Struthio camelus: one gene and its partners. The protein of the gene in region 1 purifies or fractionates together with the protein of each later gene. This does not show direct contact. Links are inferred from orthologs where the notes say so. Each region holds a gene or a part of one and is shown on either strand. Other genes may lie near its edges. The genes, in order: PHB1, STAU1, CANX and ACTB.

Region 1 (7,064 bases):
GGCGCAGGACCCCGATGCAGGACCCCAGCATGGGGTGCAGGACCCCAGCACGGGGCACAGGACCTTGGTGCAGGACCCCAGCATGGTGTGCAGGACCCCGGTGAGGGGCGCAGGACCCCGGTGTGGGGCACAGGCCCCTGGTGCAGGACCCCAGCACGGAGCGCAGGACCCCAGTGCAGGACCCCAGTGCAGGACCCCGGTGCGGGGCACAGGACCCCAGCGCGGGGCACGGGAGCCGCTCAGGGTGGCAGCAAGCCCACGGCTGGGGCTCAGCATCGCGGACCCCAGCACCTTCCAGCCTGGGGCCGTACCCCAAATCTGCCCCAGGGCTAATGGCTCTTGGCCCGGCGGGGGGGCTCCGTTATCCAGGGCGAGCCGGGTAAATTGGCCCAAATGAAAGACAGGCGCAATTTTAAAGCAGATTAATTAAACCGCATTAAGGCCCTGTGTGGACACAGCCGAGAACGCAAGCGGCCTTAATTCGATTTCTCTGACTTGCAAATTGTGGCCGCGAAGCCAGCCGAAATCACATTAAGGCCGTTTGCGCTCTGCACCGTGTCCTCGCAGGGCTTTAACGTAGTTTAACTAATTTGATTTCAGCGCTTGTTCGGATGAACCGGTTTACGCGGCCAGTTCGGGCTCGGTCCCCGAGCGGCCGGCGGAGGTGGGAGCCGTTTCCCGGCGCGGCCGGCGGCCGTGCGGCGACGGAGGAGCCAGCCCGGGTCCTGCGGGGGGGCCGCGAGGATGCTCTCGCTCTGCCGAGAGATGCAGATTTGCTGTGCAAACCACGCACGGTTTTTAGGTGGGGAAAACGGCATTTCTGTGAAAAGCACGTCGTCCGCTTGACGCCCGTTTCGGAACAGATGTATGCTGAAAGGCAGCCTGCGCCGGGAACGCGCTATTCCTGCAAAGCTGAACGAGGAAGGAAAGAAGCTTTTCCGGCCAAGCGAAAACGCATACGCGCTCTCTGCTCCGCGGGTTCCCGGCCCGCGCGGGTCGAGCCCGACCCTCACCAGCCTTTCGGCGGCGATGCTCACGCGGCAGCCGCGCGCAGCAGCTGGTTACGCCGCTCTCGCTGCCCGGCCGCAGGAAGCCACTCGGGAAAATAGCGGCCAAAGGGGTTCGTCGGACGGATGGGGCCAGAGCTGGACGTCGGCAGGACGCCGAGTCAAACAGCCGTTTTTGGGGAGCGCGGCGGCTGGGACGCGCCGGCAGCTCAATGCCCGTCTGCATAGCGGAGCGGCCGGGAAGCGCAGCGCCGGGGTCGCTCCGATTCTCCCCGGTTGGCAAATGCCATGCCATAAATTTTTCCCGGGTGCGCTCAGGGCAGCGCCAGCCCCGCGACGCCGGATTTGGGAGGGCTGGAGAAAAGGAGGCTTTTTGTTCGCGGCGCTGGCCGCCGCGGCCGGAGCGAGCGCCGGCTGCCCGGCCCCGGCCTCACCGCCCCAGGACAAAGAGCCGCTTCTTGCCGCCGAGGCCGGCGCTTGGGTCCGCCGAGGGTTTTTGTCTCGTGGAGGAATGTCGGCTCCGAAACGCGGCCGGCCCCGGCGCTCTGAAATCCCATTGTGAGCGCCCGGAGCGCGGCCGGCCGCTGCTTTTTCAAGGGGTCTTTTGGAGAGGCAGGAGGAGACGGGGGAAACAAGCTGTGATCGAGGCGAAGATGAAAACCTGCCCGGGATTCGTGTGGTCGCTCCCGGCCGGAAAGCGCCGGGGGGGGGATTCGTTTTCTCAGCACCGTCTGCTCCCGGAAAAGCAGCTTCGAGCTGGCCGAAGGGCCGTCGTGAAGGGTTTTTGTGGGGCTCGCGCGTCGCTTCTGCGCCCCGGTTTGGGAGCGACAAGGGGTGATGCCACCCTACTGCTCCGGCCCGCCGCGATTCCACGTCCCCGGGCAGGAATTGGCACTTAACGGTCCCCCGCCACCACCCACCACCCAAATTTCCTTTTTCTTCTGAGCCAGGATCAAGGGTCCTGGGGGAGCAGCCTCCCGCGGGGCGGCAAAGCACGCGGCTGAGCTCCGGGGACGGCGGCGAGGAAGGTGTCGTCCCCCACCGCTCCAGCTCCGTTCGCCCTGCTCCATCACTGGGCGCCCACCTCCGTCCTCGGGCGAAAACACACTAGTTTCGCTCCTCGTCTCGAGGCCGAGCCGGCGCAGCTCGAAACGCGCTTCCGCCTGAGCCTGCGGCTCCGGCCGGGGCTGTCGTGGGGTTGATTTTCCTCCGCTCAACCTGCCCCTGCCACCCCGGCGGGGCGACCCCCCCCCTCCCCGCCGGCTGCGTCCCCTGCCTGGAGCCGGGGACGGTGTCGGCGCCCGGGGACGAGCCGCGGCCCCCCCTGCCCGGCCACAAAGCGATGTGTCAGCGGGCCCCGCCAGCGTCAGGCCTGGCTGAATCACCCTCGGGATATTCCCTGCACAAAAGGCCCTTTTTTCTCCCACCGCCCCGGCCCGGGCAGCGCAGAAAGCACAAGGGCTCCCAAAACCCTCTCCCTGGCGGGTGTCACCGGCTCCCGCCCCAGCGGCGGTGGGAGGAGAGCGGCGGGCGCTGCGCGTCGGCGCGGGAGAGGGGCCGAGACAGTTTCCCGCGGCGCGGGACAGGGGCCGAAGCTGCACAAACGGCGGCAACGAACGGGCCCGCGCCGGCGGCCGCGCGGTGCGGAAGAGGGGCTGAGCCGGGAGGGCTGCAGACCTCCGGCCGCCGCGTCCGCGCAGCCCTGCCGTAGCGACCGTGCCCCGTGTGCGAATCTTACGCGGGAAGGGTGTAAATCCCTGGGTGTTTATAGCCGTGGCTTTATCACCAATTAGGATGTTGTTACGGGATTAGCTGCAAGCGGAGAGACGCCTCCTGGGGCAGCTTCGTCCTTCGGGGACGCGCCGGCGGAAGAGGCACCCGAGCCGGCCCCGGCCCCGGCGGACGTTGTTCCCGTGGCGCAGGCAGAGGCGGATGCTCCCGGGATTTATTCCTCGAGGGAGGCATGCAGCCAAGAGCGGGTTAGGAGCAGCCAAAATTCAGCCTTACGGCACCTAGGGAAGAGGGGTGCCGGGATCTGGCTCCCAAATCATTTTGGATGGGGTCCAAAATTGCCGGGTCCCCAGACACCTTCGCCTCTTCCTCTTCCTCCTGGCTTTCCGCTTCCCAGGGCTGTCGAGGCACAAAAGAGCCGTGCCGGCCGGGTTTGCGAGCTCGCTGCCGCGGCCGTGCCGGGCAAAGCCGGGCCCCGTCCGTCGGCGGAAAGCGGCCGTCGCAGCGCCGGGGCCATCCTCACGTCCCGTCCGCCCCCCGCCACCCCGGGGTGACCCGCCGCTCCCGCAGGGCGTCGGGGAGAAAGCGGGGTTTAAGCAGCGGTTTTCTCTCCCGGGTGCGGCCGTGCCCGCCGGCGCCCGCCGGGGGTAACGAAGTCCCCCGTGCTCAGCGGCGTCGCGTTAAAGGCGAAACCGGCCGGGGGTTTCCAGGCGGGGGAAGGCGGCTGTTTTGGGGTCTGCCTGGGAAGCGGGGGGGGGGTGGGGGGGGTCCCCTCTCTTTTTCCCCCCCCCTCAGCCCGGTTGGCGGAGCCGATGGCAGAGCGCTGCTTCCCTCTAGCGGCCCCCGGCTCCCGCCTCGGCCGCAAGGCGCCTCTGTCCCCCCGCTCCGGCACCCCCGCCCCGTCCGTGGGGAGCCCGGGCTGGACGCTGGCGGCTGCCCGGCCTCTCCCGCTCCAGCGGACTGAGCGTATGGCAGGGGTCTGCCCACAAAGGGCCGGGGTGGGGGGGGGGGCGCAGCCGAGCCGGGGGGCGGCAGCTGCCCTGGGGCTGCCTGAGCCGGTGGCGGGATGCCGGGATCCCCCTTCCCCCCCACCCCGGTTCCCCCATGCGCCAGCCCCGACGTGCGCCCCCTCTACCCCGGCCAGGACTACAGCTCCCAGAACGCCTTGCGCACGGCGGGAGCGCCGGGGCCAATGGAGAGCGGCTTTACACAGCCAGCGAGGCGGAGCGGGGCTCGCCGGGAGTTGTAGGCCTTCCCGCACGGCCTCCCGGGAGCGGGGGCGGCGAAAACTACACTTCCCAGAATGCCGAGGTCCGGAGCGGGCCAATGAGAAGCGGACGTCTTGGCGCGACGCGCAGGCGCGGCGGGTCAGGTGGCCGCGGCTTCATGTGGAGGTCAGGGGCGCTGCGGGAGGGAGAGCGGGCTGGGCCGGGCCGGGGCCGGGCCGGGCGCGGTGGGTCGCCGGGGCCGGGGCCGGGGCCGGGGCCGGGGCCGGGGCCGGGGCCGGGGCGCGGGCGCGGTGGGGCGTGCGAAGGGGCCGAGCGGCGGCCTGCGGGTGTGTGAGGGGGCCTCGGCCCAAGGGGCGCCTGTCCCGGGGGCGGAAGGCCTGGAGGGGGTGGGGGAAGCTCTGTGGGGAGGGATCCAGGGAGGGTGCAGGGGGGCTGGGGGGGAGGGATCCGGGAGGTAAGGGGGCTGGGGGTGCAGGGAGGCCCGGAGGGGGGGGGGTCGGGTCGGGGGTGCAGGTTGGATTTTTTTGGAGGGGGGAGTTAATCCTCGGCTCTGTAGGTGCAGACACAGAGTTGCCTGGGCTCCTCGCTTCATGCACTTTTAACAAGCTTGTGGGGTTTTTGCAGGAGGGACTCGCTAAAGGGGCTAGAACTGGACGTGAGAAATGGCCGCGAAGTTGTTTGAAAGCATCGGGAAGTTTGGCCTGGGGTTAGCTGTCGCAGGTGGAGTTGTCAACTCTGCTCTTTACAATGGTGAGTGGGAGAGGGAGAGTGTTTCCCGTTCATTTTATATCCTTTTTATCCATGTCTTTATTGCTCTGTGCCTTTATTATTAGTGGCATCAGGGGAAAATAGGCATGAGACTCTGCTGTGCTGGTTTATACTGACCTTCTGCATTGGGTAGGCAAGAGGATTGCGGAGTCCCTTCACTAGAAACTGTCAATGAGATGCTCTCCTTGAAAGCAGGCCGAGAGGTCGAGTCGTGGCTGAGTTGTCTCTTTTGCTTTGTTGCTACTAGCAATCTACTTAATTTCACCACTCTCCTGCAGCAAAAGGCCTTAATTAATCCTGACAGACTGTTGATATCTGTCATGGAGAATGTTCTGATGGTGTGCAAGTACAACAGTGAAACCATGCTGTTTCATTCTAGTTGATGCGGGCCACAGAGCTGTTATCTTTGACCGATTCCGTGGAGTCCAGGATACGGTGGTAGGAGAAGGTACCCACTTCCTCATCCCTTGGGTACAGAAACCGATCATTTTTGACTGTCGATCTCGCCCACGTAACATTCCCGTGATCACTGGCAGCAAAGGTAAGTGTTCTCGACCAGGCGACTGTAACAGAGTAGTGTCACTCTGAGTGTGTGCCCACTGTAGCGACCTGCGTGACATTGAGTTCTTTGCCTCAGAGGTGTTCTTTCCCTCTGCCTCAGGTGGCAGAGAGAAGATGCTCAGCAGCTTATCAGCCCTGAGGAGAGAGCAGTGCATCTGAATATCGTGCAAGACTGTGATCCAAGCGCTCTCGTTATATCCTGTGTCTTATTCTGATGTTGCTTTTGGATTTCTTTGTAGTTAGCAGTTGGGTGGATGGGGCACGAGAAGAAGTTTTACTATGGTCGTGACTTCTGTGATCTTTTAACCTTACAGAAAATCACTGAGTAAGGGTTCTGTCTTCTGGACATGGTGGTCCTATGTGTGCTGAGTCCAGTCTGGCACAGAGTCATTGATCTGTCTTTTTAGTTACAGAACAGATTAAGCAACTTCTTGTTGCAGGGTTTTAGTAGGTTGTCCGTTTAAATGCAAAATCTCTGCCTCTGCAGGAGGGCAAATAATTCCCTGCATCAGAAGCAAACTGAAACTTCAGTCTTATCTTTTTAAGAAGGATCTAGATCCCTAGGTGAAAGGGACAGTAAAAATAACTTGTCTCTGCCGGCAAAGAGAAGCCTGAGGGTGTGGTCTTTCCCATTTAGTTACCCTGGAAAGGCCAACTTCAGGACATCTCTTGTCCCCACAGTTTGCCACTAAACTTGTGCTTCTCTCTCTCCCTCCCCCCCCCCCCCCGCTCTGCCCCCAGATCTACAGAACGTGAACATCACGTTGCGTATCTTGTTTAGACCAGTGACCGCCCAGTTACCCCGAATTTTCACAAGTATTGGAGAAGACTATGATGAGCGTGTCCTGCCTTCAATCACAACTGAAATCCTGAAGTCTGTTGTGGTAAGGACAGCACGACAGCTGCTGGGCTCTGCCTGTCACCTTTCTGTCCTTGTTTTTTTTGCAGTGAGATACCTGCTAGCATGTGGAATATCTAATACTCCAGACTAAAGCTTCTCTTTCCACTCTCCAGGCTCCAAAGGGTTATCCAGAAAAGCTGATAATTGTAGTTATGCTGTTTGTTTCTTTGCCGTTCTGACGGCTTGCCTTGACTTAAGGCTCAAGTTGGGTGTAGTCTGGACAGCAAGAGGTTTCTCTGTTACCCGTTCTCAGCTGTTAGCTTCTCCCTTTGGGGGAAACCTCCCCTCCAGCTCACACTTAAATTTGCAATCATTCATTCTTTCTCCTAGTTCTAGTGAACAGGTAGCTTAGTGTTTGCTAGCTTTGGAAGATAAATTGGATTAACTCTGGGGCTTACAGGTGCAAAGACAAACAGAATATGAAAAATCTATTGTTTCTGGAAGCTTTGTTCTCATTTTTGTCCATCCTAATATCAGGCTCGCTTTGATGCTGGAGAATTGATCACTCAGAGAGAGCTGGTCTCAAGGCAAGTGAGTGAAGACCTCACGGAGAGAGCAGCGACCTTCGGCCTCATTCTAGATGATGTGTCCCTGGTAAGAGTTCTCCCTTTTCAGGTTTTCTCTCTCTTCTTGCAGATAAGAGTAGCGGAGAACAGAACCAGTGGATGGCCAAAGGGGGACAGAATTTTAGACGTAGGTGAAATGCTTATTTGTCTGGAGTTGCATGTAATTTAGTGGTTACAGCTCAAGTCAGTATGTCAGGTTTTGTCACTGGCCTTCTGTGACCTTGAGAAAGCCCTTGAAGGCTCAGCTGTACTGTCTTCTTGCTGACCTCACTATTGTAGGTTTCTGTAGTTAAAATAGGGA
Region 2 (7,361 bases), on another chromosome or scaffold:
AGTGAAGTTCTAGTTCTTTGTTTCCTCATCCAAATACATGCTAAGATGAGACTTATCCCCTCAGTGAGTCAGATGCTTCATTTTGAAATCCTCTGATGAGGAACAGAGCATATTCCTTCTCTCTGCTGCTTCTCTCTTTCAACAAACTTGGTTTTCTTCAGGCTCTCAACAGCTTGCTTAAAGGTACCTTCCTACAGACTGTACTTCTCTGCTTCTTCCATACACTTTGCTGCTCGTTCCATAACCTTTAAATGAAAACAGTCTTCCTGAGAGCCGGGAAGGAAGGATAGGCCACCTTAAAGCTGTCAGAGCAGGTCTTTATACTGTCTTTCGCCAGGACAAGGTAACCGTTTGCATCGTGAGAGATTTCAGCTCAAAGTTTTTCACAGCAATCTATTTGTCTCCAATTCTTCACCTTCTGCTGAAGTTCACTTCTTGTTCTTACACAGAAAAGGTCTATCCACTTGGTGATCTTCCCTTCATCTGTCTAAAGAGCATGTAGTTTAAGCTGTCAAAAGTGCTGCTAAAATGCTGGGAAATGAATTTGAAAACGTTTTGATGAAACTTCTGAAGAACAGAGATGTTTCCTGCAGCACAGCATGCATATGCTGACGTGGGTTTGGCTACTAGAAATGGTGTAGTTGTAGCAGCATGATTTAGGCATCCTTTTACTTTGGGTGGAGTAAATTGTCTCACCTGACACTGCCTCTGCCAGACTGCTTCCTGTAGCTCATGTAAAGCTAGTTTGGAAACAGCTGTACGCTGTGCTATAAAATGGCTTGTCTGTTGCCTTGTCCCAAAACTCTGGATGTTTGGATGCCTTGATTATTGTCTTAAAACAACTCTTTATCTTTCCTTCATAGAAAGAATAGTATCTTGTTTTAAACCTGCTATCTCTTTTGCTGATTCTTTCAACAAAAAAAAAAACTGGGAGAGGAGTTATGCATGTTCTTTCAGCCCTCAGGAGAAGTATTGCAAAGATGTTTTCCCCTAACTGTGTTTCAGGTATTTGCCTTTGAAACTGAGAATGTTAACTGAAATGAAGATATGCTCTAGACATGACTTCTCTATGAAAATTTAAACATGTATATAAAGGCAGGATAAATGCTTTTTTCCCCCCCTTAGCTTTCTACCTTTAATAATCAAATGAAGTCATTATCACCATTAATCTAATTTAGAGGCAATTTGAGATGTATACTGGGGTATACTGGCTAAAATAGTGGGTGCCAGCCAGTACATAAAAGCCCTGTGACTTAGGTTGACGTCTGGTTGCAGAGTGACTAAACGTCTAAAATTTTTCTCTCAAAATAATAATTTTCTAATTCATGTGAGGTCAGCGCTTGTGCTAGACTCACTGTATTGTATTCAAGATGAGATCATATAATATAGGAGTAAATACTTTATTAAAGTAATAAATCTTAAAAAGAATAGAAAGTGACAGAGATATTTTGTTACACATGAGTAACATGTCAGGAAAGCAGAATGAAAGGGGTTTTAGCAAAGCTAGTTCATATATTTATCTTCCTGATTAAAAAAAAAAATCTGGTTTTGTGCCTGATATAAGGGATATTTTGAAGTATTTAAATATATGCATTACAAGTATCAGATTTCTACATGAACATCTGAAAATATTGTAATTACAGTATTGTTTCCTTAAAATTTTCATGCAAGAAAACAAAAGTATCAAATATTTTGCAAATTATTAGCTAGAAATAGGTCTCTGTCCTTCTCTGTCTCTTTGTCCCTCTCTAAAGCTTTGTTTAACTGCTGCATAAAGAAGAGTGGAAGTCTTTTGTAACATTTTTTAAAAGTAAAAATCATATGCATACTAGGGGAGTAAAAATCTCATCCTTCAAAAGAAAGAACAAATGTGTTGGGTATTTGAGATGTTCTGCCAAGTGTTCCTCAGACTTTTGAATTACATGTATATTTGCTTTAAACTACATTCAACTTTGTAATCTGGCTGCAGATACTTTTTGGTCCAATTATGCAGGTTCTGCTCCTACCCCAGTGCTTACAATTTTCTGGAAAAAAACCCCATAACATTGAATTTTTAATATAATTCAGTCTGAAAAAATCTAGCTTTGTATTTCCCTATCTCCACCTAAAAATCTACAAAATGCACAAATGCTGTTTCTTTTTTAGACATCATTAAGCCTTGCAGTAATGATTATACAACAGTTGAAGTTTCGTTTCCTTCTGAAATATAACTGTTGCTGGCTTGGCATAATTAAAGCATCTAACAGCACATATTATTATGCAACAGACCACAAGAACATATGAAGAGGTGTTTAAATGTGATATGGGTTATATATATATGCTTATATACTGGAGAATGTCTTTTAAATGCTATATTGTCAATTATTTTAAGTGTATGATGTATTTTCTTTATGGTGTCTTTGACATCCATACCAGTATTAAAGACATGGATGGATATGGAACTTTAGGTATAATGTTTTTTATTTCTAATTAGTTTTTGCTGAAATGTTTGTACTTGTGATCTTCCCCGCTAAATATGAAGGCCTTCGCATTTGCTGTAGAATTACGCTACATGGTTAATAGATGGGGTGGGCTGGATGCCACGTTTTATTCACTGAACAGAGGCAGAAATTACTGATTTGCAATTTAATGGTGCCACGGGGTTTAAATGCAGCCTTGTAACTTAAAATGTATTTTTACCTATGAAGAGAGATAAATTATTTCTAAAACAAAAAGCTCTCATAGTATCTTTTTCTAACAGCATGGATTGACTTATTCTAGCAGGACTGGGGACTGTTTGATACTGTATTGCATTTTTGCTAGCTTTTTTGGTAGTGCATACTTGTTATAACAAGAACAGGCCTACTGCTTTAAAATCATACGGGTTAGGAAAATGTTCTCTTTAAAATATTTAAGCCTAATGATAATGTTTGTTTAAATCTTGTAGGGCATTTTGATTGCTACAGTGACTCAGGAAGGGAAACCCGCGATGTCGGAGGTTAACTGGTCAGCTACATGGCTGTTACTGTAGTTTTCACTCTTTCACTAGCTAGGGATTGATTGTATCTGAAGGAACGTAACAGCATTTAATGGCTTAATTTATATGACAAATCTAAAATTACTAGAAAACACAGGCTTCAATAGCAGCATGTTGGAATTTTTGCGTTCCTAATGTGAAACAGATAGGTACCTATCTTCTTTTTGGCTTAAACTAACACATGTGAATTTACTCCAGGTAGTGATTTCAAGAGCGAGCAATCACAAAGTAACTGAGAGCCAAGGTTAAGTTAGTGGCAGTTAATTATCGGCAGTGTTGAGGGGGGGAAGAGGGGGACATAGCTGCAAAGAGATTAGTGAAGATCAGGGTAGATTAAAGCTGTGCATAAAAATTAAACAAATAGGTTTAGCTTGTTATGCGTTTTACATACGCTCTCCAGGTTCAAGCGTAGTGCTTGAACGGGAAAGTACCACAGTTAGCTGCTGGACTGAACGATGGCAGTTGGGTACAACCGAACACCCCGGGTGTGGGGTTCTTCCTGGGCAATAGCTGCTCAGAGCTTTTTGCCTGTACTTACAGCCTGCACTTGTGCATCTTCTTAGGTTCAGCACGGCTTTTCCTTCCCACCCACGCTTTGAAATGCGAGGGTTTTTTTTGTTTGTTTAAATAATCTTTCACAGTTGCGCGGGCTGGCATTCTCTATTAACCCCTTATGCGAAAATACCTTCACGCTAATAGTCAATGGGAAGGCAGCAGCGGTGTTGGTGCCTTCAGCCTCGATTTTTCTTTTGCCTGGCAGACCAGGCTTCCCCGAGGGGGCCAAGTACGCGCGGGGCTTTTCGTTCAGATTCCCATTGCCAGTGAAATACAATACTGCAAGCTGAAAAGGGATATTTTAAATACACTTCTTGCCTTTATTTTAAAATAGAAACGAAGCGCGAAGCACTAAAGGGCTGGGGGAAAGACCTGCCGGTGCCGGTGCATGGCCGCAGCGGGCACAACGTTGACCGCTCCCGCAAAGGGGCTCCCCGGTCCGCGCGGAGGGAGCCGAGCCCGCCAAGGAGGCGGCCGAGAGCGCCCGGAGGAGCCGCCCAGCCCCGCTCCTTCCCTCCGGCGCCTCCATCTTGGCCGGGCACGAAAGCCCGGCCAGCGCGGGGCACGCCGGGACGTGTAGTCTCCTCCGTCCCGAGGCCGGCCGCGATGCACGCCGGGGGTTGTAGTCCTCTCGAAGAAGGCGGTGCTCCGAGCCGGTCCGCGAGCTCATTGGCCGAGAGGGCGGCGGGAGGCGTCGCCCGCGGGGGCTCGGCTGTCTCCGATTGGCTACTGGGCCGCTCCTCCTCCCACTCCGTCCTCCCGGCGCGGTGCCGTCACTTCCTCCCCGGCCGGAGCTGGCCCCGCTCATTCTCTTTAGTGTTTGCCCTGTGCCCGCCGCCTCCCTCCGCCGCCGCCGCGACTCGCCCCCCCCGGCCCGCCGGGACCCGGCCCATGGACTGAGCCGCCCGCTGGCCCGCAGCACCAGCCGGCCCGGGAGCCGCAGCCCAGGCAGCCAGGTGAGGGCGAGGCGACGCCGCTGCCCCGGCGCCGAGGCGGCGGGGCCTAGCGGGGGCCGCGCCGGCGGCGCCCAGGGCAGGGGGCGGCCCCGCGGCGGGACGGGCCGCGCCGCGCCCGCGCCCCGCGCCCCCCGCCCGCCCGCCCGCCCGCGCGCGGCGCTGCCCTGCCCCGCTCCCGGCGGCGCGGCGGCCCCCGCCGCCCGTGGGGGCCGGCTCGGGGCAGCGCCCGCGCGGGGGGCGCCGAGCGGGCCGGGCCTGCCCGGCGGAGCGGGCGGCGGCGGCAGCGCGGCCCCCGGCGCCGCAGCCCTCCCTGCCCCGGCGGCCGCAGCGGCGCTCCGGGGGCGCGGGGGGCCCCGCCGACCCGCGCGGGAGAAGCGGCGGCGGGAGCGGGCTCCGCCGAGCGCCGCGGGACGGGGCTGGCGGCGGTGCGCGGCCGGCGGCACCCCCCGGCCGGCCGGCCCGTGACAGCGTTGGCGGCGCGCTGGCCGCCCCCGGGGCCGGGCGGGCGGTGGCCCGGCTCTGCCGGGCTCCCCGGCCCCCCTGGAGCGGTGCCTGCAGGCGTCCTCCTCCCCCCGAGCAGGTGACAGCAGTAACAGGCTCCTTCAGAGTCTCTGGGGCAAACGGTTGCGGCAGCAAAACTCCGTAGTCGGAGCTAGACCAGTCTGTCGTCCCTGGCAAAAGGGGGCAGCTGCGGCGCTCGAGGCGGGGGCGGCCGCGGAGTCCCACAGCCTCCCTCCTGCGCAGGTCATGCTGCAAACACCGAGGCTGCAGGCGTTAGCAGCATCGTCTCTGCCTGAGCACCGGCGCCCGCAGACTCTCTCCTTCCCCCCTGCGAGGTTTGGCAGCCGTGGCTGTCACAGGCTGGCTTGTTTTTCCCCCTCTGTCTTTTGCCCGTGGTGCTAAGTTTTTGGGGAGATGTGACAGCAACAGGTTTCTTTTGAATGTTTGTGCTGTATCTGTCTGTCCTGCGGGTTATACAGGGCTTGATTGATTGGAGCTGTCTACCTAGGTAATGCTGTAGCTAGTAATGTTGACAGCCGGTTTTCTGATTTGTCTGTGTGTTGGGATTTTTTTTATCTTTGTTTTTCTGTCTGGTTTAAGGCAAACCTAGGAGGAACATGGGAAAGGTGGCTAGGTTTAACTATAAAGGATCAGAGGAAAACTGGAAACTCTGCTCTTTACATCTCATACAGCAACATAGTGAAATATCTGAACAGAAGTGACCGCCTTTTGTCTACTTTTGGGATAGTATATTTATAAAATCTGCCTTCTAACTAGTTCACTATGTTATTGCCCGATCATACTGGCAGAGATGCATTTTTTTTAATACTAATGAACATCAAACCTTGGGTTTTAACGATGCAGCTCTGACCATGAAGTTGTAAAGTAATCTCCAATTATATATCGATCATCTTGTATAGGCAACAAATGTGTATGTGCAAACTATCGCAGAGATATTAACTATTGTACATCAACTGGATGTCTGCCCTATCTAAGTGAAAGTTTAAGAGTAGATGGGTTGAGTTCTTTGCCATATATTCCATTTCTACTTTTGGATCAGAATTTCATTATAAAATCTTTTTATGCGATGTATGCAAGGAAGAATTCCATTAAAGTTCCACTCCTTGTTTGTACGAAATCTTTCATGATGTTTATCACTACTTATTTTTGACTGTCTGTTTTCAGCACCAGTCAGTCAAAGTATTTTTTGTCAAAATTAAAATATTCATATATTGAAGTTAATTTGTGATATTGTCTTACTCTAACTATACAGGGCCAAAACAAAACTGAAAACTGTGCTCTGCCTCTCAGATCCCACTGAAAAACAGCAGCTTTATTCTGAGGATATACAAACTTTTCAAAACATTCTTTCGATTGCTTAGTCTGGACTCTTATCAGAGGCTTGTTTATTTTATTGGATTTTTTTGAAGACATGACAGGAACAGTAGAGAAGATATGTGCATCAATTATGTATGTTAACTGTAGTCAGATAATTTTAACAAGTCAGTATCTTTACTTTTAGACCTGTTCTAGTTCATAAAAATAAAAATATTAGTACTATCGCAAAGTATTTAATTAATTCAACTAGATGTAAGCCTCTAACCACTTGTCTTTATTCATGATTGTCTCACTGCTTTCTGATTTATTCTTTTGCATCATGTTTGGAACTGCCTGGTTTATATGCACATCTGCTAGTTCCCTTTTCTCCCTCACATTTTACCTGAAAACTTTAGCTTTTCATCACCTGTTCTCTTGTTAATGATCCATATCTTAGCTCCTTGACTGATTTGCTTAATATTTAATGTTTTCTGCCCTTGGAAATTCATCTTCCCTATACTCAATAAGCAACATGCAGATTATGAACTGCATGAATTTTGAGCCTCATCCTTTTATTCAGTGAATGCTGCCTTTGAGTTGTACCTTCACTAGTCAAAGCCTTGCCTGAATATCATAGAAAAAGATTTCTAAAAAGAAAGTGTTACTCAGCCAGCGTGTTTTATGTTTTGTATAAATAACCTTAAGCCTGCAAAATTGGTAGTGCCTTTTTATTTAAGTTATTCAATTATAAATAGTTAGATATTGTTTTTAAACACTGTTGCAGAAGTAAATGTTTCAGAGTTTTGTGTCATATATTATAAGGCTACCGTTAATGTGAGTATTTAGAGTGTATGTGAAATAGGGGTAAATGGAATTTCCTGCTTTATGAACAGAGTTAGTTGTTGATGAGGAAAAATTAGTCGTGTTTGCTGTGTAACTGAAGGGTCAGCAACTATTCAGATGCAATATATTGTGAAGTATCCAGTTTCAGAAAGAAATTAGTGCTAAGTTTAGTC
Region 3 (6,910 bases), on another chromosome or scaffold:
ATGCAAATCACAGTCCCTCTCTGGGTCATGGTTCCCAGTGGAGTGATCTTGCTGTCCTTTGCAATACAAAGCTTGAGAGTCACTGGTGCTCTTAGGCCACTAAGGCAATAGTCTGTGATTACCGCGGGCAGTTTGCAGCTCTACCTGGCTGAGGTAGAGTGCCATGTTTGCATCTAAAGGGTATGCTGCATTTCCCCAGTGAGGGAACAACAAAACACAGCTCTCAAGCCACCAAAAGACACCTGAAGTCGAACTCTTGCTGCATGTGTAGCAGCTATGGTCAGATAAAAATGCCGTTAAGTTAGGTGTCACACCCTCAGGGAGGACACAGTTCTGGGGACGTCTGAAGGACACTCTCAAGCAGATCTAGCTCTGGTCTATGAAAGAACTGGTGGAAAGGGGCACAGTTGGAACCAAACTGTGCCTAAAAACCTGGCGCAATGCCCACGCAAGCTGTAAAAGCTGTGATACAACCTAAGGAAACCATCAGGATTGCCATATCCTATGTCCAGACCGGACTTGCACCTCTTGTCTTTTCTTGGATACTTCTGAGCTTCTGGGTACCAGAAGTTTTTTGTAAAGTTCCTATTCCCAGGGGCATTTCCTAGCCTCTTCTGCACTTATGATATCAGATGGGTTGCTTATCTTCTTCCACTTCCTTACTGTATTTCCCTGTCTCCCTCCATCCATCTGCCAGTGCTCTGACTCTGGTTCGCTGCTGCTTCTCTTTGCTACTTACTCTCCTACCTTTATTACAATTAATTAAAAACATTTACTTACATTCACTTTTCTTACCTTTGAAAATGACAGGATTTTATTTTTTTGTTTTAGACATTTAGGCCCCCTCTGTTTTGATAACGTCAGTGAATCTTACCCTGCTCTTTTCTCGGAAGGGGTTCCCTCCAGATATCTCATTGTAAAGAAATGCGTTTTCCGTGGAAAGCGTACCAGAGCGCATGGACGTTGCCCTGTATAGGGACGTGGGCTTGTCTTCCCTCCTGCAGTTCAAAGTTTGAAAGAGCAAAAGTCAGCATTCTCCTGCTGGTCATCTGCATTTACTGCCTGCTCTCTGTCAGTGTAGTGTCACTAATGTCCTGCTACTTCTGGCTTGCTTTATTTTCCACTCGCTACTTGCCAGTTTTCCAAAGGAGACTGATATCTGAAAAGATCATCTACTAATGCTTGAAGCGCAAAGAGAACTCGAGCTGTGTGGCAACGCATTACAGAGACTTAAGAACAGAAAGTACCTGCTGAAAATGGGGGAGGCTTCTCTACCTGATGAACAGTCAGGGCAAGAAAAGTACCCCTATAGGGCAGCTGTTCAAAGCCATCATTCACTCGTAAACCGAGGACTGCCTTTCACCTCTGAGACCGACGTACCCGGAACGGGGAGTCTAAACGTCAGGCTTTTCTAGCTTAGCCGCACGGCCCGTTTTATGTCTTTCAGAATTTACTTCCAAAATGAGAGAACAGCACGCTCCCCATGAGTGTATCAGTGGATCTAAACAAATCTCTTGTGGTCAAGCCTGCACACACCTAAATGGTTTTCTTCAACAACGTCGTGTTTGCTGTGTGGTCTCTGCCATCCCTCTTTCCTTCATCGCCCCTGTCCCTGGCATTGCACAAACTGGGCTAAAAATACCATGTTCTCAGCTGCCAAAGCACTTAAACCTCTGTGCATGCTTCTTCTCTTCTCTTTCTCCCTCTTTTTTTTTCCCCCAGATTATCTATCTGTCTTGTGTTGACTGTGTATAAAATCACAGTGTAGGATGTACTTTTAGCAGCTTACGTGTTTTTTAACTTAGAGCTATTCTCTCCACGCCATGACAAAGCAGAACAGGCAGGAATGGGTTGCAGGGCCTCCTGCCTGCCCCATGATTCAGCAGGTTGTAAAAGGAAGCGGTGCCGTCTTTTTTGGGAGAGGGTGGCGGGAGAGAGAAAGGGGAGGCATGTGTGACGGGCGTGTGGGGGTATATCTGACTTCCTGGTGCTTGAGCTGATCAGAGCAACAGCCTAGCATGGTGTTATCCTGCAAGTCACAGTTAAGTAACTCACAGGCATGAATAACCTGTTTCAAAAGAGGGATATTTGAAGGATATTTGGTGGGAAGTTGGATTTTGCCTAGACTGGGGAGGGAGCTTGCTAAATTATACGTCTTTGTTACCCTTTAAAGTATTCCTCTGTGGTGTTTTTAGTTTGCTATTTTAAGGTGCTTGGTATCTCACATGCTGTTACGTTGTTTGTGGCTGCTTCTCTGCTTGTCTGCCTTGCATCTTCTGTGCAGGTTCTGGGTGTCAGTCAGTCTACAGGGAGGTTTAGGAGCCAGGTTAGTGGCTTTCCAGAAAAATGTGAGCGTTTAATTCCAAACTTCAGTGTAAACAGGGATTTGCTGAGTTCGTTTATGCTGAGCCTTATTTCTAAACGCTGGGTCCCTGCTTGCTTTGTCCTAACGTGGTGGAAATTTCTCTGTGGGGAGACTTATGTTGCTGACTCATTGTGTCAACTCAAAACAGATTTATGTTTACAAAAAAAATCCCTCTTCTTTCTTTCTCCTTCCCACCCCTCTTAGCAATATTGAATTTGGTATTCTTACAGAATACCTAGTATCTGCTGGAACAGGCTGTAGTCCGCAGGCCATACATGAGCTTGCTTTAAACCGGGGAGTTTAGATTACAGCTTTCCATTTAACTGTACTCATGTGAAACAGTTTAGATATACCTTAAAGTGGTATTACTGATAGGATAGCATGAGTCTGCTTTCCTCATCTTAGGTCCTTGTTCATCCCTATCTTACACCGCCATGGGTACGGGGAGCAGGAGGCAAGGGAACTCTTGAACGTTCCTCTTGTTCTCTCAGTTACTTGCAAACCGGTTACCCGCCTCATGCCTTCCCTTCCTATTCCAAACAATTGGGACAGAATTTCCTCATTTCCCTGGGCTTCTAGAGTCATTGAGACATACAGATGTTTAGCATTTACACGGCATTTCACTTATACAGAAACAGATTGTCAATTTAGGCAACACAGCATTGCTTAAAACTTCTGGTATTACGCAAGGCCTTCACAGAGGAGGCTGCCTGAAAGGTACTTCATGTTTTAAATAGGTTGGAGTATATGTTACATTTAGTGGTTTTCTTAAAACCGCAGCTTGCAATTGAGCAAAAAAAAATAGACACTTTTTAAAACAGAAAACCCTAGTCAGTATAGTACAAAGAATAAACTTTAAAAGCCCTGCCAAGAGGTTAAAGAAATAGAAGACAAAGATGAAACCGGTGTTTAATTTGATGGAGCCCGAGCACCGGGACAGGCAGCGGCCCAGGGCCTCCCCGCAGGGACGCAGCACGGGGCTCTGCGGTGAGGCGCCCCGGCAGGCCCGGCTGTACCAGCAGACACAGCGCTCCTCCGCGGCGAGGGTTGAGCCAAACCCCGCGGGCGAGGGGAGCGTTTTGGGCCGGGGAGGCGGCAAGGCGAGAACCCTGCTCAGCCCCCTGCCCTGCTGCCCCGGGCCAGGCAGTCCCTGCGGCACGGGGCCGTGGCCAGGACCCACGGCGGAGGAGGTGCGAGGGAGCGGGCTACGACTGGCAGAGCCGGGCCTGGGCGACGGCGGACGCTCTCGGACGCCTTTCTCCCACCTCCCCCGCCATTGCCCTTTTAAGCCCCGCAGCGCCCAGGGACAAGGAATCCGTTGGGTCTCCACCCACATATCAACGGCCTCCCTACAGCTAGCCAATCGCTGCGCACTTCCTGCAACCCGGCCGACCAATAAAAGCGCTCCACGAGGGGAAGCGCCGTTGGGGCGTGTTTTGAGGCGGGCGGACCGCTGAGCGGCGGCGCCCTCAGCCAATCGGAGAGCTGGACGGGCGGTGGGGCGGGCGGGCGGGCGCGCTGCCGGGCAATGGGGGAGCCGGGGCGGGGCGCGGCGGGGGCGGGGCTGGCGCGCGGTAGATAGGCGGGCGGCGGCGGCGGCGCTGAGCCCGCAGGCACGTGACGGAGGTGAAGGCAGAGGAGGGGACGGGAGGTCCGCGGGAGAGGCCGGGGGCGCGCGGGGCTGCGGCGGTTGGCGCTGTCGGGGGGCGCGCGTGGCGCGGTGAGGTGAGTGCGAGCTCGCGCCTCGCGGGCTGCCCTCCCCTTCCCCCCCCCCCTCGCCCTTCCCGCTAGAGACGGGGCAGCTCCGTGACTGGGGGGGGGGGGGGAAGGGGAGAGCGGGCCCGCTCGCGGGGCATGCCGGGGTATTGGCGGGGTGTGGGGAAGCCGGGCCGCCCTGAGGGAGGTGGCGGGGCAGGCAGAGCCCGCCTTGGTGGGGGGAGGGGGATGCTGGGCCTAGGATGTAGTAGGCGGCGGGGGGGCCTGCGGTGGGGCCGGGGGGGGCAGCCGGGGACCCCGAGAGCCGAAGCGGGGGCGCTGGGGGAGCCCGTGCGGCTCGGGGTGGGCTCTGGGTGGCTGCAGGCCGCGGGCAGGCCTGGCTGGGAGCAGCGGGTCTTCTGGTAGCTTCTGGGCTGGGAGGCGGGTAGGGGCTGGGCAGGGCCTGTGGCACGGCCGCAGCCGGGCAGCGGTGATGTGACTCTTCGCTGCTCCCCTACCGGGGGGGGGGGGGACGACGACGTACAGAGGCATGGTTTGGAAGAGGGAGTAAGGAGGGGGGGGTGGAGATGGATGGGCTGGCATGTGGTTTGGGTTTTATCTAGCTTGTGGCGTTAATGTCGGCAATGACAAGAGGGAAATAGTCTTCAACTACCTGGAAATGCCAAAACGCTGAGGTTAAATAGGTGGCTCTGCAGCGCTGGGGGTGGGGGTCGGTATAGACCATAGTGTGTGGCATGATTCGTGCTGGGGGAGAGGAAGTAGAAGCCTCTGGAAAGGGGGAGATGAAGGTGAAGAACTAGAGGCCCAAAAAGTGGCAAAGGCATGGTAGGTGCAAAGGCGTGAGTGAGGCCAAAGGTGAACTACAGAAGAGAAGACTTTTTAACAGCAAAGACTGAAGATTTTGAGGGTTTGAAATGCATACTTTGGCTTAGCTGCTGAATATTGTTTCTGTGTTGGGTGTGTAGCGTGCATGACTGAGGTCTTAGTTCTTGTTTATCACTCAGATTGTGTACTTTCAAAAAAAAAAACCCCTCACCTTTGAATTAAAGTGAGTGTCGTCTACTGCTTTCTTGTCTGTCCTGCTTCTAAAGAATGAACTTTCATATTTGGCTTTGTGTTTGAGAACTTTCTAGGCTATAGAACGAGAGAGGCTGCAGGTGACTTGATTGTGGAGGGAACCAGCTATGTAAATAGGGGAAGTATAACAGAGTATAAGACAATACGGTAAATAAGATATGTTACTCAATCTAGACACTGCAACTGAAATGACTTCAGAGACTCCTTTCCAAAGCCTACTGTTGGTTTGGTCATGCTACATAAGTTTATCCAAAATAGTAAACAAAACTAGAAGCAACTGGAAGAACCTTTGAGTTAAATGTAGTGTTTGCCCTAAGTTTCAATATTTCTAGTTCAAAAAAAATCCAGAAAGATGAGGAGTTATGAAGGGAATGCTAATATGCTACACATCCTACATTACGAGCCGAGTACAAGATGTACATTGTTTCTTGGCATCTAATGCCTTCCTAAGAAGGGAAACCTAATGCAGAGTACTAAGAAAGCTTACCACTTCCGTTAAAGTACCCTTTTATTTGATGTGTCCCAGCACTTCCTCTAAATAAATGAATAAATCCTTTACTAAGACTACATTAAAACTTGTATTTAGTCCTTCCTTTTGCTTCATTACTAGGGGCAGAAAAATTAAAGGTGAGAAAAGGATCATGACCATACCCTGTTCTCTCTGGAATTCATTCTGTTGCAGAGCAAACGTGAATTCATTCCTAGGCATGACAGTCTGAAAAGTCTTGAGGCATCTCCAGATCTCCCCCCACCTACCATAATTCCCCTAACAGCCCATCTGTTTTATGGTCCAAAAACCTTGCAGTTCTGTCTCTGTCCTCCAAGGACTTCCAGTTCTGCATGAATGATCTGCTTGCTGACAAAGGGTACGTGGTATTTTCTCCTTTACTATGTCTGCGCTGATGTATGTTATTTTTAGAAACTGACATGTTTGAAGTGCTTATTAAAATAAGCATTGTTGCTGTCACCTTTCATAGCTAATCTCTTACCTGGTTTATGCTCCTTACAATCCAAACAGAAGGCAGTTATTTCTGTGGAGCTATCCTTCTCTGTAGCAGAAGGTTTAGGTAATCCTCTCTAGGAGGAGACTATCATAAAGTCTTATGTAGCAGTGTATCTTAACCACCCCCTCCTGAAAAAGGACCCCTCACACAGCGCTCCAGCCTCTGGCTTGTTATAAGCAAGGCAGTTTTAGTTTAGCCTTGTTTGTTCACTGAGTTGCCATGTTAAAGGCAAAACCTTCCCAACTCTGAAAATGTCTGACTGCAGAGCTAAGCGTTTAAGGGAAAATATTTGTCTTGTCTGCATCATATGAGTTGCTGCATATATGAACATAATTTTTATTATGTCCCCGCTAGAGGAGCGGACAGGTAACTTACTGGTTTCTGGAGTGGTGGAACTTGGCCACAAAATTGGTTGTTTGGCTTGGCTGGAAATCTCCCAAGTCTGCCTGAAGACAGCTGTGTCTTTGAGAAGTGAAGAAGATAGAAATGCATGTGAACTACAACAGTAAGCTGACAGTGCTCCCAAGAGCTTAGTTTCCTTTATCCATGGCTGCTTACTATCTTAGTGCCATCGCTTGTCCTGCTACAACTCTTTGTACCTTTGTATGCTGGTTTGGACTAGGAGATTGATTGAGAGTTTAAAGTCACACAGCAGGAAAAACTTGTAACTGTCCTAAAACAGGTATTAGTCCACTATGTGGCTGTGTAAACAGTTACCCTGGCACAGCTGAGTGGCCAGGTTGTGCAC
Region 4 (7,175 bases), on another chromosome or scaffold:
CCATGTCCCTAGACAAGACACTTCATCCCCTCTGGAAGGTGGTGTCAGTGCTTATATCTTGCCTAGCATCCACCCAGGCCTGCCAGGTCAGAGCCTGAGAAGACCACCACCATGTGCCCATTCAAGCATCACAGCAAGGAACAAACAAATGCTAAGTAACTACAGTAGTCACTCCAGGTTGGTAAATGGATTAGTGTCTAGTCAGAAACAGCAGTCAGACAAGTTGCTAGTTCAGTCTCAGAGAAAGCCAGCTTAGAAGAGCAAACAAAACCTGTCAAGGTCCAGCAAAGAGGAGACTCAGGTCAGGAAAGGAAAACCCTGTAAAGATGGCAAAAAGGAGAGAACAGTGGTGAAGGTGCAGAGAGGACAACAGGGAAGAGGAAAGCTGGCTGCAACAACATCTGCTCTAGCACCAAGCTCGGTTTTACATACCTGTGTCATCTTCTCTCTGTTGGCTTTGGGGTTCAGGGGAGCCTCTGTGAGCAGCACAGGGTGCTCCTCAGGGGCTACTCTCAGCTCATTGTAGAAAGTGTGGTGCCAGATCTTCTCCATGTCATCCCAGTTGGTGACAATACCATGTTCAATAGGGTACTTCAGGGTCAAGATACCTCTTTTACTCTGAGCTTCATCACCAACGTAGCTGTCTTTCTGGCCCATACCAACCATCACACCCTGCACAACAAACAAAGCAATTAAACTCAAGGGCCAGCCTGACTGGGTGGATAACCCCCTTTTTCTTTAAAAGGGCTTGACCTCTCATTATTTTTCTTCTCCTGTCCCCACTCCATCAGGAAACACCTTCAGTCAATTCCCAACACACTGCTGAACACCACAGGAGAGCTCTGCAGGATGCCATATTTCTCCTCCTCCCCCCCCCCACCCATTACTGATGCTCCACAGAAGCCAGTGCACTACACACAAATAGAAGGGCTTCTTTAAGGTTACTGCCTTTAAGGGAACTGTTTCTACAGAGAGCTCCTTTACTCTGTACAACAAAGTAGCAGCCCAGCCCCATACCTGATGTCTGGGGCGACCAACGATGGATGGGAAGACAGCACGTGGGGCATCATCCCCAGCAAAACCGGCCTTGCACATTCCGGAGCCATTGTCAACAACGAGCGCAGCAATATCATCATCCATGGCTGGCTGTGAAAGGATAGAGAGCAGGTCAGTGAGCACCGCCACTCATGCACCAGCAGCCTCTAAGGTCTCAGCAGGGGGACTCCTCCTCCAAAGCCGCAGGAGGAGAGAGAAAACCCCACGCAGCGCAGAGCCACTGGTGTCCAGGTGGCCGCCCCAGACCACACCACCAACCAAGGCCCTTCCCCACCCATTTCCTTCCTGTTTGCGCGGCACCGCTTCACCCAGCGCCCGCTAGAGGGGGCGGCGCGTTCCAGGCTCCGACACCGCACAGATTTGGGACAAAGGAAGTCCCCGCGCCCTCGCGCAGTATTACCATAAAAGGCAATGGATCGAGCGCGCCTCGCGCCGAGCCGGGCGCGCGGCACCGCGCCAGCGCTGGGAGGGGAGGCAGGCAGGCAGCCGGCTCGAGGCCCCGCCCCCTCCCCGCCCCGGCCCCGCCCTCCGCGGGCACGCCGCTCCCGAGCGCGCACACGGCAGCGCCGCCGCACCCCCTCCCCACCCCCACCGCCCCACGGCCGGCGGAGCGAGTTGCGCCGGCAGCCGCGACGCAGCCAACGCACCCGCCGCGCTCCGCCGCTCCCCGAGCCGCCGCCCCGCGGGCTCGAAGGGGGGGGGGGGGCGGGGAAGCGAGGCGACCTTCGTTTCAGCCACCTGGCCCAAAAGCCGCTGGCCGGGCGGGTGCCCCCGGTTCAGCGGCGCAGAGCGCACCGGGCATTAAGAGCCGCGGCGTTACACAACTGGCCCCCTCCCACCCCCGCCCCGGGAAGGGCGAGTTCAGCTCAGGCGCTTCTCAAAGCGCCTTTTTTTAATCCGCGGGGAGGAGGGGCCGCTGCCAACCTCCCTGCCGGCCCAGCGGGCCGGGCACGCCGGGAAGTGTAGTCCCCGACCCCAGCTAGGGCACCGCAGCTCCCCCGGGGCGGGGGGCTCTTCCCCGTCCCCCGTGTGGGTCAGGGCAACAACCTCGCCCCCGAGGGAGAGGGCGGCCGGAGCCCTCGCCCGGTAGCGCCGAAGCTCCCCCCGTGCGTCCCAGCGCCTGGATTTTGGGGGGAAGAGGACCGCACCCCCTCGGCACCGGCTCCCCCCCATGGCCTCAGAGGGCTGCGCGGAGGGGGGGCGAGGGGGAGCACAGCGCAGACAAAGCCCCTCCGCCCCATCCCCCCGCTGGGCGAGACACAATAGCCAGGCGAGACACTCTCCCCCCCCTCCCCCGGCGCAGCCACCGCCCCCGAGAAATCCTCTTAGAAGGCAGATCAGCCCCACAGCAGCCCTCTCCACAACCGGGCAGGCTCCCCGGGGTGAGGGGGAGAACAGCTGCGGCGCCCCCCTTCCCCCGCCCAAACCGGGCGGTTCCCCACCGCCGCCTCACAACAAAGGGCGCCCCGCGAACGGCCACGCCGCCAGGCGGCCCGGCCAGCGCGAGGACCGGCAGCGGAGCACCGCGCCGCCCTCATCCTCCACCCACTCCCCCCTCACGGGAGGGCAGCCCCCTCGCCACTTCAGCTCGCCGCTGGAATTGAGGCTGAATTAGAGAAAATGAAAGAGGAAAAGGATTGAAGGGGGGGGGGGGGGAAACACCACACACAACACGAGCGCGCTAGGAGGGAAGGAAAGAGGGCTGTGGAAACGCAGCGGGGAGGGCCCCCGCCCCCCTCACCCCCCCCCACGCGGGCCCCGCTCACCTTTGGGGAGTTGCACGGTCAGAGCCGGGGCGGGCGGGCGGCGCGAGGCGGGAGCAGGGCACGCGCGCACACACACGCGAGGCGGAGGCAGCTCGCAGCGACTCCCGCCCGCCGCGCGCCCCGGGTTTTATAGGGCCGGCGCCACCGCCGCCTCGCCATAAAAGGAAACTTTCGGAGCGCGCCCTCCTGATTGGCCCCCGCCGCGCCTCCCCGCCTCGCGCCGCCGCGCCTCGCGCGAGGCAGCGCCCCCCGCTCCCCCCCCCCCCCCCGCGCTCTCCCTCCTTTCCCTCACCACACATCGCGGAGGGGTGTGGGGCTGGGGGGGGGCTCGCCCCGCGTGGGCCCAGCGGAGGGAGGGCGGGCGGGGGGCGTCCGCGTTGTCCCCCCCCGGCAACACAAAGAAGCGGAGCCGGCCGGGAAAGGCCGCAGCGAGGGGCCGCCTCGGCCCCGGCCCCCCCACGCTGGGTGTCTCTGCGGGGCGGCGGGGCCCGTTGTCTGTCTGCCCAGCGCGCTGCCCGGGCGCCGGGCGAAGGGTCACGGCGATCCGGACCGGATTCCGGTGGAAAGTTAGATCTCGGGCCAAGTGCGCTGCTGGTGTCAGCAGGCGGCGGGGAAGAGCTCTCGCGACCCGCTGCGGCCGGTCCGTCCCGTGAACCTGCCGGGCGAACGCTGCCTTCCCCTTCAGAAAACCGTTAAAACACGACTATGTTTTTATGAAGGGAGAAGGCGCTGCGGACATGTCACCTGGAAGAAGGAAACGCTCCCCCGGCTCTGACTAAGGCGTTGAGTCAAGCCGAGCGGCTCGGCTGGCCGGCGAGGGATGCCTGCCCCTCTGCACGGGGGTCACTGCCTGAGCAGCGATTTGGCTGGATTTGGGCAATATTTGGTTCCCCCCCCCCCTTTGATCCAGGTGGGGCAAGGCTTGCTGGAAGGGTGTGCGGCGCGATACGTGGCTGTCCCTCTCCGGGCTGCGTTTCTGCAATCCTGTGTCTCGTTACTACGATAAGATACCAGTTCAAAATCAAGGCGAGGGCACCATCAGCAAAACAGCGGCCAGCAGCGACAGAGGGCTTTGCATCCCCAGAACACTGTACAAACATGGGCTGATTAATCAAGTTAATTAAGCAGCCCTGTAAGTAAAGTAGCAGCATCAACTTGCAATCTGTTGCCAGTGTGAAGCACACCGGCTTTAGCATAGGTGCTTTAAATATCCAGTCTAGCTGAAAGCAGTAACAACAGAAAAAGTCCCCGGGGCGGGGGAGGGGAAGCTAAAAATGCATGTTGTTCATGGGACACCTCTGGTTTGGCATCTCAGAGAGGGTCCTGAGCGGAGAGGCCCCAGGTGAGGCAGCGTGAGCAGGGAGGTGGCGCACGAGGGAGGCTGCTGCTCTCCAGCCGGCTCCCGCCTGCTCTTTGTCACCGGGGAGCCGCCGTGGGGGCTCCACCGGCGAGGACGGGTGCGGGTTAGGGCCTGGAGGACCAGGCTGCCCTCCCCAAACCGCCAGCATCCGTCCCGGCGGCGGGGTCCCTGTCCGGAGGGAGGGGGAAGCGCAGCGCTCTGTCTCCCGGTGAGCGTGGATAGCCGCACCGGTGCTCCCCGGGACAAACAAAGGAGAGAGCAGCAGGAGGAACCGTGCAAAAGCCTCTGAGATGGAGTTTTGCAATTACCTCATGTGAGGGAGGAGAGACGAGTGGAGAGCAGACACGGGGTACGGACTGGGACCGGCAGCCCCAGCCCCAGGGAGCCATCCGCGGCCTGGGCATGGCTCCGTGTTGGCTGCCTCCTCCCCGCAGAGCTGCCCCGGCTGCGCCAGCGCCGATCTGGGATCGGTGTTTCGGAGGGGACAGAGCCGGGAGGAGAGAGTCGGGAACCTGGTGACGCCCCTGGGACCCGTGCCCTCACTGCTGGAGCTGGCCATTGTCATGGGCTGCCCCAGGACCATGCCCTGTCCCCTCAACGCCGGAGATGGCCATCACCATGGGCCACACTAGGACTATGCCCTGTCCCCTCAATGCTGGAGGTGGCCATCACCATGGGCCACCCTAGGGCCGTGCCCGTCCCCTCAATGCTGGAGGTGGCCATCACCATGAGCCACCCTAGGGCCGTGCCCGTCCCCTCAATGCTGGAGGTGGCCATCACCATGGGCCACCCTAGGGCCGTGCCCGTCCCCTCAATGCTGGAGGTGGCCATCACCATGGGCCACCCTAGGGCCGTGCCCGTCCCCTCAATGCTGGAGGTGGCCATCACCATGGGCCACCCTAGGGCCGTGCCCGTCCCCTCAATGCTGGAGGTGGCCATCACCATGGGCCACCCTAGGGCCGTGCCCGTCCCCTCAATGCTGGAGGTGGCCATCGCCATGGGCTGCCCCAGAGCCATGTCCCATCCCCTCAGGCCTCGTGGGAAGTGTTCAGCCAAGAAAGATCAAGTCCAGCAAAGTGAGAGGTTTTTGTTAGGGCCGCGCAGGCAGGAGGGGCACAGGGGCTAACATGCTCTTGCTGCAGATCATTTTCTCTGCGACCTTGGCTGAATGGTGCCAGATCTCTGTATCTCAGCTTCCCTTGCAGGACAATGGGAATAATCACTGTTAATTACCTACCTCACGGGGAATTAATTAATGTTTGCACTCCACTTTGAAAAGGCTGATTATTAATTAGAAGATTATACGTCAGATAAGGGGAGCCACAAGGTATGGGTATAGCTGGTGGCTCTGGGGGCAGCAGGGATAAAACGGGGTCCCTGAATGCGCTGATGAGGGGCCTGCAGAAAACAACCACTAGCAAAAACTCCTACAAACGCATCGGGGTGATGGGTACGGGGAGGGAAATGTCAGCGGGAGGTCAGCATGGGGAGGTGGCTGTCACAGCCAGCAATCGCTTTGCTCCGTCCTGCACACAAAGGCTAATGGGAGCAGGGGCTGAGGGCCAAAAGTATGAATGAGGTGCTGTGAGGGCCAGGAAGTGGGCAGCCCTCGGGGTGAGCGGGAGGACAGGGCGCTTGGGAGCGTCTGTGTTAGCTGGACCAGGCGTGCATCCGCTGAAGCCCTTCTCTGCAGCATCCTGGTGAACAGGTAAGGCCTACCAGAGCTGGGGAACCACAGATAGGAGATAGCCCATTAAGCAGGGCGGGAGATTACCAGGCAATTAGAATCTCCTAATTATGAGAATGAATCAGAAAGCAATCAATCTGCCGACATCCGGAGCACAATAACACAGGCCCCAGGTCTCATGTCTTTTGGAGGCAGTGGGACTTTCGGCCCAATGGGGATCGCAGGATGTGAACCGCAGCAAACAGCCAGTGATCCAGGCACTGCCACTTCCTCTGAGGTTGGGACGGGCCAAGATTTGTGTGATGAGCGTAAAGGCAATTTGATAGCAAGGCCACCCACCAATTGCTGTGTTCAAGGTCTAAACAGACCATAATGCGATAGACTGAGCCAGGATCCTCTGGTCTTGCATTCAGGGCTCTCTTCTAATCTGTACCTGGGTGTGTCACGAGAACCGAAAGGAGAGAAAGAGGAACAGCGAGCAGCGAAGGTCCACAGTGATCGTCCTCTGCCATCTCGGGCCTGGCTTGTCTCCGAGTCCCTCTCAAACGCATCAGACTGGGAGAAAAGCTCATGTAGAGCCCAGCTTTTCACGCACCCACTAAAAAGTAATGGAAAAGAAGTTATGCCTCTACGTCTTAGCAGAGAGAGAAGGAAGATGGAGACAAGACTTCCAATAAGCAACCTTCAGGGTTTGAGATCTGAGCTAAGGCAATAGTCAAAACTACGTGCCGTGAAAACACAAGGCGGTCTCAGTTTCCTATTGCCAAAAACCTCAGTAGAAGTGTGTTACCCTTCAGCACACAGGGCACACGGGTCACGGTGCAGACAGCCTCTGCACAGCCAAGACCTGCCGTAACCCAGAGAGGAGAGAGCAAAAGAAAGCACAGGAAACCCCCCAAGCGGTTTTTCAGTGCCGAGGTCTGCCAAGGCTGCTCTAAAGGTCCATGAGGACAGCAACGGCCATGGAGTACCTCCTAGCGCCAGCCAACCTGAAACCAAAAGCAGACTCCAGAATTTCCCTGTTTTGCTTCACTTCTCCTTGCCTGTCCTTGGGTCTGTGCTGCAGAGCTCAGCTCACGCTGGCTCCGGACAAAACCATCTGGAGGAGGATTCCTCCTGCCCTTCGCTGGCTGATACGGTCAGGCCTGGCTCTGGGCACCGATAGTGTGCGGTCCTGCCTTTATTTCTGCTTCCTGCCCTGTACCTCCCACTCCTTCAATTTTACTTTGTCTGCTTTCATGGGACAAAATGTGAACTCTCTTTTCTGCCTGCTTCTCCCTGTGCCTGTAACTGGGGCCTTATTTTG

What was found.
Region 2: the proteins of PHB1 (region 1) and STAU1 purify together in Homo sapiens (affinity purification with mass spectrometry; 3 studies listed by BioGRID). This does not show direct contact. The link is inferred for Struthio camelus from reciprocal best matches to the Homo sapiens genes PHB1 and STAU1.
Region 3: the proteins of PHB1 (region 1) and CANX purify together in Homo sapiens (affinity purification with mass spectrometry; 3 studies listed by BioGRID and IntAct, with this or other methods). This does not show direct contact. The link is inferred for Struthio camelus from reciprocal best matches to the Homo sapiens genes PHB1 and CANX.
Region 4: the proteins of PHB1 (region 1) and ACTB purify together in Homo sapiens (affinity purification with mass spectrometry; 4 studies listed by BioGRID and IntAct, with this or other methods). This does not show direct contact. The link is inferred for Struthio camelus from reciprocal best matches to the Homo sapiens genes PHB1 and ACTB.

What each region holds. Positions count from the first base shown.
Region 1 is NC_090966.1:5,145,089-5,152,152, forward strand, and holds the start of PHB1 (prohibitin 1), read left to right. Parts: upstream 1-4,045; 5' UTR 4,046-4,132; exon of another isoform or gene 4,133-4,191; intron 4,192-4,591; 5' UTR 4,592-4,629; coding exon 4,630-4,717; intron 4,718-5,114; coding exon 5,115-5,276; intron 5,277-6,037; coding exon 6,038-6,180; intron 6,181-6,674; coding exon 6,675-6,791; intron 6,792-7,064.
Region 2 is NC_090959.1:9,433,811-9,441,171, forward strand, and holds the start of STAU1 (double-stranded RNA-binding protein Staufen homolog 1), read left to right. Parts: upstream 1-4,346; 5' UTR 4,347-4,527; intron 4,528-7,361. UniProt on the Homo sapiens protein: Binds double-stranded RNA (regardless of the sequence) and tubulin.
Region 3 is NC_090954.1:6,908,295-6,915,204, forward strand, and holds the start of CANX (calnexin), read left to right. Parts: upstream 1-3,909; 5' UTR 3,910-3,991; exon of another isoform or gene 3,992-4,090; intron 4,091-5,768; exon of another isoform or gene 5,769-6,024; intron 6,025-6,516; exon of another isoform or gene 6,517-6,667; intron 6,668-6,910. UniProt on the Homo sapiens protein: Calcium-binding protein that interacts with newly synthesized monoglucosylated glycoproteins in the endoplasmic reticulum. It may act in assisting protein assembly and/or in the retention within the ER of unassembled protein subunits.
Region 4 is NC_090956.1:4,852,704-4,859,878, reverse strand, and holds the start of ACTB (actin, cytoplasmic 1), read right to left. Parts: upstream 3,003-7,175; 5' UTR 2,823-3,002; intron 1,147-2,822; 5' UTR 1,141-1,146; coding exon 1,018-1,140; intron 673-1,017; coding exon 433-672; intron 1-432. UniProt on the Homo sapiens protein: Actin is a highly conserved protein that polymerizes to produce filaments that form cross-linked networks in the cytoplasm of cells.